2 linked regions of the Lepisosteus oculatus genome follow. The protein of the gene in region 1 purifies or fractionates together with the protein of each later gene. This does not show direct contact. Links are inferred from orthologs where the notes say so. Each region holds a gene or a part of one and is shown on either strand. Other genes may lie near its edges.

The links. Proteins that work in one complex are often made in the same cells at the same time.
Region 2: the proteins of csk (region 1) and tns3.2 purify together in Homo sapiens (affinity purification with mass spectrometry; 4 studies listed by BioGRID and IntAct, with this or other methods). This does not show direct contact. The link is inferred for Lepisosteus oculatus from reciprocal best matches to the Homo sapiens genes CSK and TNS3.

The regions. Positions count from the first base shown.
Region 1 is NC_090700.1:56,659,504-56,667,064, reverse strand, and holds the start of csk (tyrosine-protein kinase CSK), read left to right. Parts: upstream 1-4,554; 5' UTR 4,555-4,887; intron 4,888-6,236; exon of another isoform or gene 6,237-6,408; intron 6,409-7,561. UniProt on the Homo sapiens protein: Non-receptor tyrosine-protein kinase that plays an important role in the regulation of cell growth, differentiation, migration and immune response.
Region 2 is NC_090701.1:4,603,376-4,610,715, reverse strand, and holds the start of tns3.2 (si:ch211-191a24.3), read left to right. Parts: upstream 1-4,319; 5' UTR 4,320-4,336; intron 4,337-7,340. Other genes in the region: desmoplakin-A, read left to right, coding at 1-1,373. UniProt on the Homo sapiens protein: May act as a protein phosphatase and/or a lipid phosphatase. Involved in the dissociation of the integrin-tensin-actin complex. EGF activates TNS4 and down-regulates TNS3 which results in capping the tail of ITGB1.

The sequences.
Region 1 (7,561 bases):
AGTTACCAATGGGCTTGTGGCAATTGGACATTTAAATCTGCATCAGACTGGTGGTGAGTCTTTACCTCAGAACAGAAAAGGAATTGTGGAAGCTTGTGAGACAGCAGTTTATTGTCTTAGTAGCAGGACCTCCTTCCTGTTTTGGGAGACCCACTAGAAGTTGTCCTTTCTCTCAGTGTTGAGGGGAAATGTCAGATTGATCCACAGTGGTGAGGAGGCAGGAGTATGTCCATCTCTGCTGCATGCTGTTGTTATTGTGGTCTTGAGGAAAATCAAGAGCACTAGGTAACTAATGCATTATTTAATCATTTTCAATGGAAACCTCAATTATTTTTCACCAAATGTGGAGGAAAAAAAAGTCGAGAATATCTCGGTGTACTAAGTAGTGCAAAATAGTGTACCTGCCTGTCTGCACTATTAAGCATGTGAACTGTATCAAGTTTCAGATGTTCTTAGGTCACTTTTTTATTTTTACTTGTACTGCATCATAAACTTGGGTTTAAACGCACAGATGTTTTAACTTCTCAGAATGATAAATCTGTAGTGGGAGATGGTGTAGTTTTTTTTATCTCATCACTGTTGGAATGTGTTCCTGTGTATATTGTATTTCCTTTTTGTTGTGTATATATGCAGTGTGCCCAGGAATTTATACAGTAGGTGTGTACACTTGAGGTAGGTGGCGTCAGTGACAAACACAAGTCTGACACACCCCGGCGCTGTGCACTTCAGCCTCTCCTCCACACTGCACTAAGAGCAAGGCAACTCCTGGGTCCCCTGGGTCTGTTTTCCTCATGTTACTGTATAACGAAAACTTGTATTTAGCTTATATGATGGATAATGAAAATGTAACCTCCCACTGTGGAGGTATTGATTTGGGTCCAGGGCTTGCAATACCAAGATTGTGGGCTCAAATTGCTACTGGGAGACTGTCCTTGTTCCCTTGATCTCGTATTTCTCTCGTGGTTGCTCTACAAGCGACATTTTGTTCTGAAATGATGTCTGGTTAAACGATTATTGTTATTATCCTCTATGTGCTCGCTCTGCAGAGCACAGGGGTTTCTGCAGTACCAGCAGCCCCTTCTGCGTAGTCCACATTGCCGCTGGGTTTGGAGGCAGGGAAATCACAGGCTGTTAGAAGTTATAATTATCAAAAGCATGGGAAAACTTTAATATCTCGATTCGTTTTTTGTTACAATGGCAATTTGTAGTATGTTGAAAAAAGAATCACATCTGTCTAGCTGTGCCGATAATAATTCTGAATAATTTTAAGTTTAAATGTGGTCCTGCCTAAAATGACATCTTGCTGAAAATAAGTTACATTACAAAATCTATCCACCAGATGGCTCCAAAAATTCACAACACCTGTGTCGATTTAGCTGCATTTCCTTTCCTGCCATTGAGGCCCATAGTGACCTCATTGGTGAGCTGGACAGCGGACTCTTCTGAAACCTCAGGCAGCATCTGTGGGGTTGATGTCTCTGTAGTGATGGTAAAATAGGTTGTCTGAAGCAGAATTTCGATTTTTGCAAAGGACGGGATGGGTGACTGTCCCACTGACCTTGACAGTCAGTCTGTTTGAGAAGTCATTGTATAACACTTCTGCATCGTTGTGAACAATAAAGAACATTAAAGCATTGCAAAAATATAGAAGTCTTATGTTTTTTTTTTATTAAGTATTCTTTTGGATTTTGTTTAGTAGTTTTGTTCAGCATCCATAGATGAAAAGGTGAGAGAAGGTAAGTGAAGTTGATGCATGCTTTTGTAGGTGGTACTTGATAAATTCCCATTGAACATTAAATGATTGCACATGGGAAGCAGAGGAGCAGACATTCAGTTTTTAAACTGATGTTTCTTCTGGTGTCTTTTAGTGTTCTATTTTTTAAGACAGAATTACTCCATCATTTGTTTATTCTTTAGTAGGTCCAGATTGACCTACTGGTATTGCCAGTGATGTTGAGCTTGAAGAAAATCAGATCCGAAATAAGCTGATTTAGCCATCTCAATTGTAAACTGTGCTATATTATTTTAATTTGTATTGCTAATGGACAGATAAAGCATGTGCCACTTTAACCCCTCTTGGAGCGGAGCAGTGGCTCTGTGGCTCAGGATCTGCGCCTGTGGCTGGAAGGTTGCCAGTTCATATCTCGTGGCCAGCAGAGGAATCCTACTCCGATGGGCCTTAACCCCAACTGCTCCAGGGGCACCGTATAAATGGCTGACCCTGCGCTCTGACCCCCAGCTTCTGTCTGTGAGTCTCCTGGAGAGCAAGTTGGGGTCTGCGAAAGACAAATTCCTAATACAAGAAATTGTATATGGCTAATTAAGTCATCTTATCTGTATTAATACCATTGGCTGAACTACAGCTGTTTGCCTTTCCATTGTAGGATTGAACTGCAGATCAGATTACAGGCTCGAGGAATATGTACAGCAGGCTGCAATCTAATGATCACTTTTCTCACTCCCATAATTTAATCTGGTTCAATTTGTGGTGCAGATGAAGTCAAAAGCACAGTTGCCGAAAGTCCCAGGAAATGTCAAAAATGTGCAAATTATTGGTTGTCTAATATGTCAATGTATAATATATTGTCCAATATAATTTTACATCCCAAACAGACACCTTCAGTTTAAAATAATGAGAAGAAAGGAATATAAGATTGGTTCCAGACGAGGAAGAAAGCTAATTGATTAGAGGATCTCATCCAGCCAGGTCTTGAAAGAAACCAGGTTAACATCTTCATCTTGAGAGATGCCAGCAAACAACCACCCATCTTCAGAGGACGGGAGGGCATATGGAAGCTCCACATAGGACCTGACATGTGAAAGCAAACCTCGATCCCAGCAACAGCAATGACCAGCATAGGCTTGAGCTGAGCTGATTGGACCACCTGTAGCACTCTGAGCCAGCAGGGGGAAGAGCACCACTACCACTTCATTAGTTTTACCTTTACTAATTGCAATTTAGCCAATCTTAAAAAGAAAACAAGTGTCCCATGCTATGACAATATTGCAACTGTAAATAAGAAAATAATTCAAATGGTTTTTCTTTTGCACACGCAAAGAAGAAATTGGGAAATTGTGGTGTTTTGAGAAAGGTTGGGGTGAGATTAATCAATTTATGGTCTCTTAACTGTGCTGATATAGTTACCATATATGGACAACTTTATTTGCACATGGCTGATCCCAGCCTCTGTCTGAGGAAGCAGCAGATAATCTGTCCTTCAGTCCTCTCCAGTGTTGATAACACTTCATAAACAGAGGCTACAACAGCTCAGTCACAAGAAGAAATTGCACCACCCATTTTAAAGTCCTGGTTAGACTGTGGTTATCTATTCTTTAGCTGCCTTCAATCTTGACTTACACCCCTGTCATTTAGACTAACAGAATATTGTCTTCCTAAACCATCAAGAGGCTCCTGGGGTGCCATGGTGACATCCTCTCCTTGATTCAGTACGTGGAGTGCTGGCTTCACATCTGTGCTCACCAGTGGACAGGAGCATCTGCTCCTTATTTCCCGCAATACAGCTGCACCTGATCTGTGGGATCAGGCTGCCAGCACCTCCTGCTGGGTGTTGTGGTGCAAGCCTGTTCAGGGCAGGGCAGTGTTCATGGACACAGAGGCAGTAATAATTCCTTACACTTATTTCACATTTTTCTGGACACTCTCCTCCACCACCACCAGTGTGCAGCCCCACCTGGATGATATGATGGCAGCCATAGTGTGCCAATACACTCCCCACACACCAGCTCTCAGTGGGGAGGAGAGCAGAGTGATGAAACCAATTCAGAGATGGGGGTTATTAGGAGGCCATGATTGGTAAATGGGCTAGGGGAACTTTGGCCAGGACGCCAGGGTTACACCCCTACTCTTTTCGTGAAATGCCCTGGGATTTTTAATGACCGAAGAGAGTCAGGACCTCAGTTTTACATCTCATCCAAAGGACACCACCTTTTTACAACATAGTGCCCCCGTCACTAAATCGGGGCATTAGGATCCACACAGACACAGACACAGGGTGAGCGCCCCCTGCTGGCCCCACTAACACCACTTCCAGCAGCAACCTTAGTTTTTCCCAGGAGTCTCCTATCCAGGTACTGGCCAGGCTCACACCTGCTGAGCTCCAGTGGGCTGCCAGTTGTGCATCATGAAGCTAAAGGTGACCTCCCCTGACCGCAGAAAAGTTAATTTAGGACTAAAATAGTGCTGCTTCACAGAGAACTGTCTGATACAACCTCCCTGCTCTGGAATCAGTGCAGGGAAGTGCAACCAGATACTTTCTGGGGCTTCAGGTAGCATCCTTCAGAGAAGTGCAATACGAAATGTAAACTCGGACGTTATTCCATAATTATAGTTACATATAGTTAAATATAATTACAATAAAGCATATGGATGAAATAAGGTAACGCGGACGGTCCCAATTTCTACTCTCAGACCTACTCTCTCTGACCGGCAGAGGGCACCACCTGTCAGAGTGTTGACGTGCGCGTTCCCTTCGCCGGACCCCCCCTCTCCCCGAGCGCGCTCCCGACGGGCAGTGGTGTGGCTGGCGAGGTGCGCACGCGCAGACGAGCCGTCTGAATGAGGGACCATTTCCTCTTGGAGGCCTGTGTGTTTTGCAGCGACTGAAGGCCAGTTCCTCGGCTGTGTTTTCAATTTGGACGGGCAAAGACGGGATAACCCCAGGATCCACCGGAGCCTGCTGCGACCGTTGCCGTGAGCAGAAGCGAGCTTGAGCAGGCGAGACGAGCGGCGCTCCCGGCGGTGTCGCCGCTTCCTTCAGCGCTCGGCTCGGCTCGGCTCGGCGCTCCCGGAGTGGCCCGGAGCTGCATGAGAGGAAACACTCCTTCGCCTTTGTGTCTGCACCGCACGGGCTGCCTTCCTGGACCGAGGTACGAGCAGCGCTGCTCTTTGTCGTTGCGAGCCCGCAGGCGCAGCAGCTGGAGAGGGGGGCACGGGCACGGGTGCGAGTCGGCGGCTGGTCCTGCGGGCTCCTTACCGCACCTCGGGGTGTGCTCTCCTCTCGGACAGTCTGCGGTGTAACTGCAGACTTGTCTTGAGAGGGACGCGTTTCCCGTGTGTGTTTCAGTGGGCGATCGCTGCGCTCTGCTGGCTGTGGTCTGCCAGGCGTGGTTGGGGCAGGGGTACGGGGGTCTCTGGCTGGCCGGGCGGGTGTCCGAGCTGCCCGCCAGCCCAGCTGACGTTTCTGCTCTCTGGTGCAAAGCAGGCAGAAGTGTCAGACCGGCGGGAGGGCGCAGGAGACGGGCCGGTCTGGCCTTGCGGACTGACCAGCGTCCGCCTGAGTGACCGTCTCTGCCCTGATGAGCCCCGGAGCCTGGCCGAGGAGCTGCAGTGTTTGTCAGTGGAGACGGACACTGGACGTGCCGCTTGTATACAGTATTTCAAACCTTGACTTCGCGCACGGCGAGGTGCTGATTTGCAGTCCTGTGTGCATGCAGGGTTAGGGGCTTGTATCTGTGTTGTATCTCGAAATACAGTACTTTTAACAGCTGTCAACGGCCCTCTTTTGTGCTACAAAGAAAATGTCAACCTTTCGGTATTCTAGCTACCCGGAGATGCAGTTTTCGTGCTGTAGTTGTTACCCAACTCGCCGTTGGGACCTCTGTAGGGAGATCCGGGAGCTTTTTGGAGATGAACTAGCTGTCCAGCTCACGGTTTCGAGTTCACATTCGTCGCTTTGGCCACACGGGTACTAAATGCATGTGTCCACCTGGATGGGCTGGTACTGTAGTCGGGTTTCAGCGAAGGCGAGGGGCGCTTGAGTGACAGTCGAGCCGCCTGACTCCGGGCTGCCGAAGCGCGCTGATCGCGCTCATCAAGTACGCTCGCTGTTACTGTGGACAACACTGCCACGGCCCACTGTTTCAAATGTCACGTTTCACATGAGCCCGGCTGGCCTGCGTGTGATAGCGTTTAGCTCCATCAGTTGTTTTTTTTATTAAGCCAGGTGACTGACAAACGCGTATTTTAGTGTGAATGTGAACAGCGTCGTACTGTATAATTGCATTGGACTGTAGAGTTTAAGGGAGAATTCAAATATCAGCCACTGCAGTAATAGACATCATAAAGACTTAGAACATAGTGGAAATGTGATCCAAATAGTAAACCACAATTCGGAAAGGGCTAACACGGAGCATGCAGACTTGCTGTTTGTCCGGAGATAGTAAGGGGCTCGGCCGGCAGGCAGTGTCTCTGAGGTTGTTTCAGGGGGATCCCCTGTGAAGCTCCTTCCCAACGGGTTTTGTCAGTAGGACATTGAACACAACTGTAAGACGGCTGGGCTTCGTCTACCTCATCTGTCCTCCTTGCTCTGGGACTGTATGCGAGTCTCGTCTGGGTGACCCAAAGTCAGAACTTGTTAGAAGACTTTCCTGCGGTGGTTCAGCACACAGGTGAGTTTGCTGTCCCGTGCTGTTGTGCTCGGCTGTGAGCATGAGGGATGTATCGTGCTACATTGCAGGATCACCGTTGTGACGGCAAATCAGAATTACGGTGCAGTAAAAAGGTTTCCTCCTCTGAGTATAATGTTAATCAAACCTAAATGCTTAAACCTGTCAGTTTATATGTGAGTGGTCTCCTTAAATACTTGCTTTCTTAAAGAAACATCGCTGTATATATAAAGTTAGTACAGCGTGCCACGTTTTTGTGTAGTAAAACATTTTTATCATAGTTTTCTGGTTCATTACAGTCCTTCTATTCTGATGACTGATTTAGAGATAGATGCACATTTTGTTTTCTTAGTAAGTCTGAAATAAAATAGGACTTACCTACGCTAAGACATCAGAGTAATTTAGCATTTCCGTTATCTGTTCAGCTTGAATCTTTAGGCCCGTTCATGAACTCAGCTCGTTGCAGGAGGACAGTGAGCAGTTTGTACAGCTGGTTAAGTTCTGTTCGAGTTGTGGCGAGCGTGTTTGCAGCTTTGGTCAGGCTGATCTGTGGCTTGAGTTTGCAAGAGTGGTGTGGCAGTGAGAGTGGTGTCCGGATTAATAAGAGGCAATGGCGAGGAGGGTCTGTGCGCGTGCCTGAAAGTTATGGAGAGATTGGGAATTGCTTCCAACTCAGAGACCTCCTTTCTTCATGCATTTGGTCATTTCTACTCTTCTCCTGTAGTCCTGCATGTTGAGTGTGGAAAAAGTTGCAGCAGGATTGTTTTTACCAAAAATGATTCAATCTTGTTCTCACCCGATGCATTTTTCCTGTTCAGATGTATTTCTAGTTTCTGTTTGGGCCCTGTTGGGTTAGGGTTATAGACCACTCCAGGTCCACCTGGAATAGCATGCTCTCTCCAGCCATTCCCCCCTGTCCCGTCTCCCAGCCCGGGATCGTGAGTGCTGCTCTGACAGGGTCCTGTGTGTGGAGAGTGGCCATGGAGACAGGGTGGGCTCGACTGGACGGGGGCACGGGGCACATTCAGTTGGGGAGCGTGCATCGAAGTTGCTAGAACATCAGTTTCCCGTCTTTGCATTGTTGTAGTTTTTCTTTGATTTAAATTTCCTTACACTATCGTTTGGAATTCATAGAAATGACAGATGTGAAGACTAA
Region 2 (7,340 bases), on another chromosome or scaffold:
ACGATATCTTGTCTTATGAAGGGGATGACACCAAAGGTTTCTTTGACCCAAACACTGAAGAAAATCTAACATATCTGCAGCTTAAAGACCGGTGCATTAAGGATAAACAGACTGGTCTCACCCTACTTCCACTGAGAGATAAGAAGAAACAACAGCAGTTGACTCAGAAGAACACCCTGCGCAAGCGCAGAGTGGTGATTGTTGATCCTGACACTGACAAGGAAATGACAGTACGTGAAGCTTTTCACCGGAACCTGATTGACTATGACACATTCTTGGAGCTCTCCGAGCAGGAATGCGAGTGGGAAGAGATAACTATCACTTCATCCGACGGCACGTCAAGAGTAGTAATTGTTGATCGGAAAACCGGCCAGCAGTACGACATTCAGGATTCTGTAGATAAGGGTGTCATTGACAAATCGGCATTGGAGAAATATCGCTCGGGGTCCCTGACCCTTACGCAGTTTGCAGACATGTTGACCACCAAGAGCACCGGGGAAGTCTTGGTCAGTTCTTCTAGTCTTGAATTTACCAGCAGGAGCCCCACATTACTTAAACCTGGGTCACCAGCTACCCCAAGAAAACTTTGGTCTGGCGTCTCGATAAGTCTTTCGCCCCCCTCCGATCTGTTAGAAGATCAAAGTCCGATCGCAGCTATATTTGACACCGAAACCATCGAAAAAATAACCATAACCGAAGCGGTACGACGGGGGCTTGTGGACTCTATCACGGGGCAGCGGCTGTTGGAGGCTCAGGCCTGTACTGGAGGCATCATAAATCCCTCAAATGGTCTTCGGCTCACGTTGGATGATGCGGTAAGACAGGGCATCATTGACCAGGACATGGCTGTGAGGCTGAAGCCAGCTTATAAAGCATTTGTAGGCTTTGAAGATGTGAAAACCAAGCGTCAGATGTCGGCGGCGCAAGCAATTAAGGAGAAGTGGTTACCGTATGAAGCTGGGCAGAGGTTCCTTGAGTATCAGTATGTCACAGGAGGCCTGATGGAACCCGGTACCACTCAAAGGAGAAGTATTGAAGAAGCCATCAGAAAAGGCTGGCTGGATGGAAGAGGAGCTCAGAAACTCCAAGATGCCAAGCGCTATGCCAAGAGTTTGACGTGTCCTAAAACCAAGCTAAAGATTTCATACAAGGAGGCCATGGAAAATTGCATGGTGGAGGAAAACACCGGGATGAAATTGCTGCAAGCGTCCTCCATGTCCTCTGAAGGAATCAGCAGCCCCTACAACGTTTCATCTGCGCCGGGGTCCCGCTCCGGGTCCAGGAGCGGCTCAAGACGAGGCAGCGTAGATATGTCTTCAAACTTTACTTTCAACTACACCTCCTCCACTTTTAGCTCCAGCTCTCTCTCATAATACAATGGGGGGATCTGAGATTTGTTACGTTTCTCAAAACGTAGAGGAGACCAAGTTCAAGTTTTAAAGGGGAGTGGCTGTGGAATAGATATACACAATATTAGGCATTTAGCAGCTGTTTGGTATTTAGCTACAATACTTAGTTATACAGGGCAAGGGATTATTTTTTGCAGCTAGTTTTGTTTCCTTATTTTTCATCTGCCTGGTATATGTTCTGACAGATTTTTTTTTTTTGGTTTTACTCGGTCATGTACTAAAAATATCTGATTTTCTTTATGAACTGTGTGGATTTTTTATTCTTCTCTTCACAATGTCCTCACTAATTCCTTAAGTTTCTTCTTCGTAGAAAAGCCAATAATGAATTTTTGAAAATGATACCCCTGTTCCACAGAAATGTCCAGGGTCTGCAACCTAAAGTGGCTCAACTGTGCGTGTTCGTCTTAGCCGTTTTAATCACAATAAGGTAGCAGATATAAAATTATCGTTTGCACTGTGGAATCTGAAAGGGCTTGCACCACCATGCTGTGGCTCTAGATTTTAGGCTCTCTTTTAAGTGTTCTTCAGCTGTACTTTAGGAATTGTGAGCATTACATCCCAATATTAATTTTGCAATTCATTGCTTACCAATGCATTCATGATGCGTAAGTTGAATTCGGCCGTAATGAGACAGGCACGAAGCTGCATAGAGGTGAGATTTTTCAGTGTATTCTGTTACTGCCTAGAAACAGCAGTCCTGTGACCAGTTCCTTTTGTATTAGTTTTTTTTTTCATTTTGTAAAATGCACAAATGCATTCACGAAACGGCGAAGCAAATAACCATCTGTACTCAACTTTAATTTTTTCCCTCCATTATGGAGACGGAATCAGGTTTTGAAAAACATCTTTGTACTCTTGACGTTTTCCACTGTGATCTGTATGCAAACCCCCCTCCAAAGAATGAAATGCTGCACAAATAAACATGACTAATATCTTTCAATGTGCGCTTGGTAATAAACCTTTTTATAGAATAACTGTTCAGTGTTTTCAGTGTTATTATTTGCGTATATATTCACACATGAAGTGAAGCTGCAAGCAGACATGCTCTCTAGGTGGACATCTGCTTCAGCGCTGCCCTGAACTGTGTCCGCACTGCAGACCTGTCCTTCATTCAACCATTGTACCTCGCGTGTTGGGAAACACTCTTGTTGCTGTGGTGGCGTTTCTTTGAGTTAATTCGATCGGAATGTTTTAAAGCCTGAAAACGTGATTTATAAAATACCGTGAGGAGGAAAACATAATACATCTGATAACATAGCCAAACGATGGGGCGGCGAGTCCCGACATTTAGCTGCTGCAAACTATATTTGGGGCTCATGAGTGCTTTCCTACAGATGGGACCAGCCAAGAGGGAGCGACTGGAGCTGGTAACTAGGATAAGAGGAATAGCATGTGAATGAACTGCACTTATGAGCCCCTGTTACAGTGCAAATGTTTCTCACATGCGAGGGCTATGACCCCACTAACAGCCAAATCACCCCCTGGCCTTTACCAGTCATGGCCTCCTATTAATCCCCATCGATGAACTGGCTTCATCACTCTGCTCTCCTCCCCCGTGAGAGCTGGTGTGTGCTGAAATGGACCGTGTCCACTATGGCTGGCTGCCATCCCATCCTCCAGGTGGGGCTGCACACTGGTGGTGGTGGCGGAGGGGAGTCCCCATTACCTGTAAAGCACTTTGAGTGGAGAGTCCAGAAAAGTAAGAATTTATTATTAAATGCCTCGAGAGTCAGAGAGGCCAATAATGGATGCGCAATCATACCAAAAGCAATATTGTAATGGCAATACAGTATTACTCTCTCTCAATTACTAAAGATACTGTTACTCCTCAGTAGTTACTAATGACTTATCTGTTACTAATAATGATGATACTCTTAGAGGGTGTCAGCCTATGAGCTGTGCCACCTACTGAGGAATAATAGCCTTGCACTTCATGCTGCTCTCCAGGATGGAACCGCCGATCGACTCCGCGGAAGGTGAACTGACTCCCTGTAGTGCACCGGGACCCTTTTCGGCATTAAGGGCGAGTCATCTCTTGCGAAAAATTGTGGACTCCGCCCACATCCATTAAATATGAATAAGAAGTTATTCCTTAAATGAAATCTCACAAGCTTCGGCTGCCTCTGACGGACCAGCCAGTGAGAAACAAGTCGAATCTGACGGAAAGTTTCTGGTCCGAAACATTTGATATTTGCAGCGAAATTCAAAGCACTCATATCAGAGGCAACCCATACACGACTCTTTAAAGAGCCAGACCTTGTTAGGAAAGTATGCCTTCTAATGCGGCGAAATTTGATTTTTTTTTCTATTCATGAGAGAGGTGCGGACTATCAGAAAATCTCACCCAGTTCTCATGCCAGGTGTGTGGTCCGTTCCCGAGTGAAACAGGCATAAACAATCTTTCATTTTGCGTTTTTTGATGCACAGTTAATTTACAAAAACCTGTTTTCTTTAAATTGTACCCACTTCTTTAAAAAATTATTATGCGCATTGTTAACAGACAAATGAGAAGTAACAATGGTAATTCTAATGCTGACCTCCACGCACGGTATTGTGCGTATTTTTGATTATTACAACCGGTTCAGATTAAGTTAAACTTTAACTTAAGTATGCATATCTCTGTACACTGCTGACTGTTGCTTGGTACAGTAGCTGATGCTCACATAAGACTGCAGAACGCACATTTAAGACCTATCTTGGATTGGCACTGTAAAAAGAGATAAAAAGTGGAGATTGTTAAACTTCATGTTGTTGTTTGACAGGTGACGTCTTCGTAGATAATATCGAGACGTGCCGCAACACGCGCATTAAGCATTGTTCGTGTGTATATATTTTGTTTCAAGTTTTTTTCTGGCTAGCATCAACATGAAACCCCAACGTATATAGAATCTAAATCGGCGACTTACGCGTTTATGTTTTTCATTCAGGTACGTGTCAGTAATTATTATTGTTAGCATGCAACGCGCATAAGCTCATGTCCAAAAGGTAGGTAAAGGTTTTTAAATATTTCAGTAAATGAAGGGAATTGGTTTATAACGTAAACGTGATTACAGCCGGTGTATTTTAGCACGAAAACAGACGCGAATGCATAAAAAAGCTCGTACAGTCTCCTGAAAGACTCTGTCTTTTAAGCTTTTTGACTGCCTGGTTACACGCCGTGGGCCGCTTATCCCATTTAAGATGGCTGTTTTCATTTTTAGTTTGATTTGCTTGTATAATATTTTAAGTTTAAGGCCTGCAATAAGATGTTTGTTTACAACGGACACTCCCTAATATGCATCAATACGTGTTATGTATAGTTATACTTTTATTGTGGATGTAACCTTAGGATCTTTAGTATATTTGGGAATTATTAATTTGATAACTGAGATAGAATGGTTTCTGAAGCAAGTGCAGATTGGAGTTTTAACTGGAGACATTCTGTTAGCTTCCCTGTCATACGTCCTTGTTTATAACCCAAATTCTATACATGTCATACACCCAATAAGCTATGATTAATATTGTCTGTTTACATGTGTAGTTGTACAAGTAAACTAATGCATTCTCATTTACATTTAGTAATTGAAATAATGGCAGTTACTATCTAACAAAAGCTGCTGTTATAAATCACTTAGGAATGGGTTATATCTTTACATAAAGTTTATAATGTCTATTCCTCTTATATCTGGTGGCGCTTCAAGGTCGACAAACCTGAAACTGATGAAGGCCTTGCTTATGAAAAAGACTTGGGTGTTTATGTTGACACATCGTTTACATGTTCCACACGAGCAATTAAAAATGCAAACAAAATGTTAGGATGCACAGTTTAAAAGCATATAATTTAGATGAAGGGATGGTATATTAAAATTGTTTAATGCACTAGAAAGGCCTCATTAAGAATTTTGTGTATAATTCTGGCACCATATTATGGAATGACGTACAGACTCTGGAATGAGTCTGGAGGAACAGATACATTTCAGGGTTGAGCAAACGTCCTACACTGAAAGCCTGAAGGAACTAAACCTTTTTAGTCTTGGACAGAGAAGACTATGAGGGGATCTCATACAAGTTATTTGCAATCCTCCGACAAAAAAGGACCTCCTGCAGTGACAAAATCAATTCAGCTGATTTCTTCAAAACGAACTGTAAAAAATGAACCATGTTCCAGAAACGTGTAAGTGGTAAATAAGTGGAAGTGCATTTTAAATTGAAGAATATCAGGCATTTCTTTATCCAAAGGGTTGTGGGAGTGTGGAACAAGCTGCCCAGCCATGTTGTTCAAGCCAATAGCCTGGCTTCCTTGACGAAACAGCTGAGATCAGTTAAGTAACAGATGGGCCTAGATGGGCTAATTGGCCTTATGTGATCTTCTAAACATTATAATATAACAAACCGAGACTTGTGCCTCAGCCTGAGTGTTCATGGGTGAAATTAGCGGGATGGCACTGTCACCACGAGATTACTGTCGCCAGACAGGCAGCACTGGGAGAACACTTGGTTCAGAAAGGAGGGAGATGGGAGGGAATCTGAGAGTGCATCACTCAGATCCTCCTTTCTGGTACTCCTAAAGCCTCATAGTTCACCGTAGTTCCGCCACACAGTCATTTCTCAGATGAAAACGCACACGCCTCTCTAGTACAGCCTCCCGGAATTAGAACAATGTAATCAATCGCCATCATGCTGGACAGGTGTGTATCTCGTCAGTTTCTAGAGCAGATCTTCAACATCAAGCTGTGCAACCACAAAATATTTGGGCGGTCAAAAAAAATGAGAGAAACCGCAGAGAAAGTATTTTTTTATCCTTTCCATTTGTGGATTGAGAAATACCTCAAATTTAAATTCTTCCTTTGAGAAAAGTATAAAAGTATTGGGGCAAAAATCATTAAAGCAACAAAAAATGATTGAGGCTGAGGAGCACAGCAATAGTCAGCGACAACAAGATGGCAATGGTGCAACTAAAGAAACCGCAGAATGACCTGGTTAATGGAAAAAGCACTAGTAGCTCATAAAGTGAGGTACTGTACTTGCTACTTTAAGGGAATCACAATTTTTTCTGATTTAAAAATAATTTGTCAGATACCATTGACCTTAAACTTATTGAAAAGTACATTTTTTGAAACATGCATAATTTGAAGGGATTGAGGCATCTTTTGGTTACCATACAAATAAGTAATTTGGATATTTATTTGCACTCGGAAGACATTTTGCATTGTTCTTATCTTTCCATTAGAAACCCAGGTCTTGTACTGACCATTCTTCTACAAAATACTTTTAACATACTACATTATGCTGATAGACTGTATCACATACTGTAATACAAAACGTTTCAGCATCATTGTTAGGTAGAGAGGAACAAATTATTTTAATGAAGAGGAACACTGGCCAGTCAGTCACTTAGATTTGGTTCGTAAACTGATGTATAGCTTACTTTGAACTGTTGTGGACAAGGTGTGAAAGATTGGTATGAATGTGGTAAAAAGATAAAAAGACAAGCTTGGTTGAAGCTGGGATGGGCTTCCACATGGAGTTGCCAAACCTTAGAGTACCTTACTCATAATTACTACTGCTGTTATACTTGTGAGTATAGAGAAGTAGGATTGCTGGCAGAGGAGAAAAAAAGCGTGTCCTCACTAAGGAGGTCATCAGGTCAGGGCTGATTTATAATCTTTCTGTGGATTGCTGGCCTCGTGGTGTTGCAGTGGTCACTGGGTTCCTGGGTTCACTTCCAGACCTGGGGTGCTATCTGCTACCCAATATGAAAAAAAAATGACTTTTACTGTTATTTATCTGTGCTAAAAGATACCAATCAAATAAAACATCCAAAAGTCTGCATTTTACGGTAACTATACCAAGCCCAATTAAAACATTAAAATAGATAAAAAGAATATAGATGTTGGGTTTTGAAGAGACCCACTGTTTTAAGTGGAAAAAGGAATAGTTCTGACACTTTTC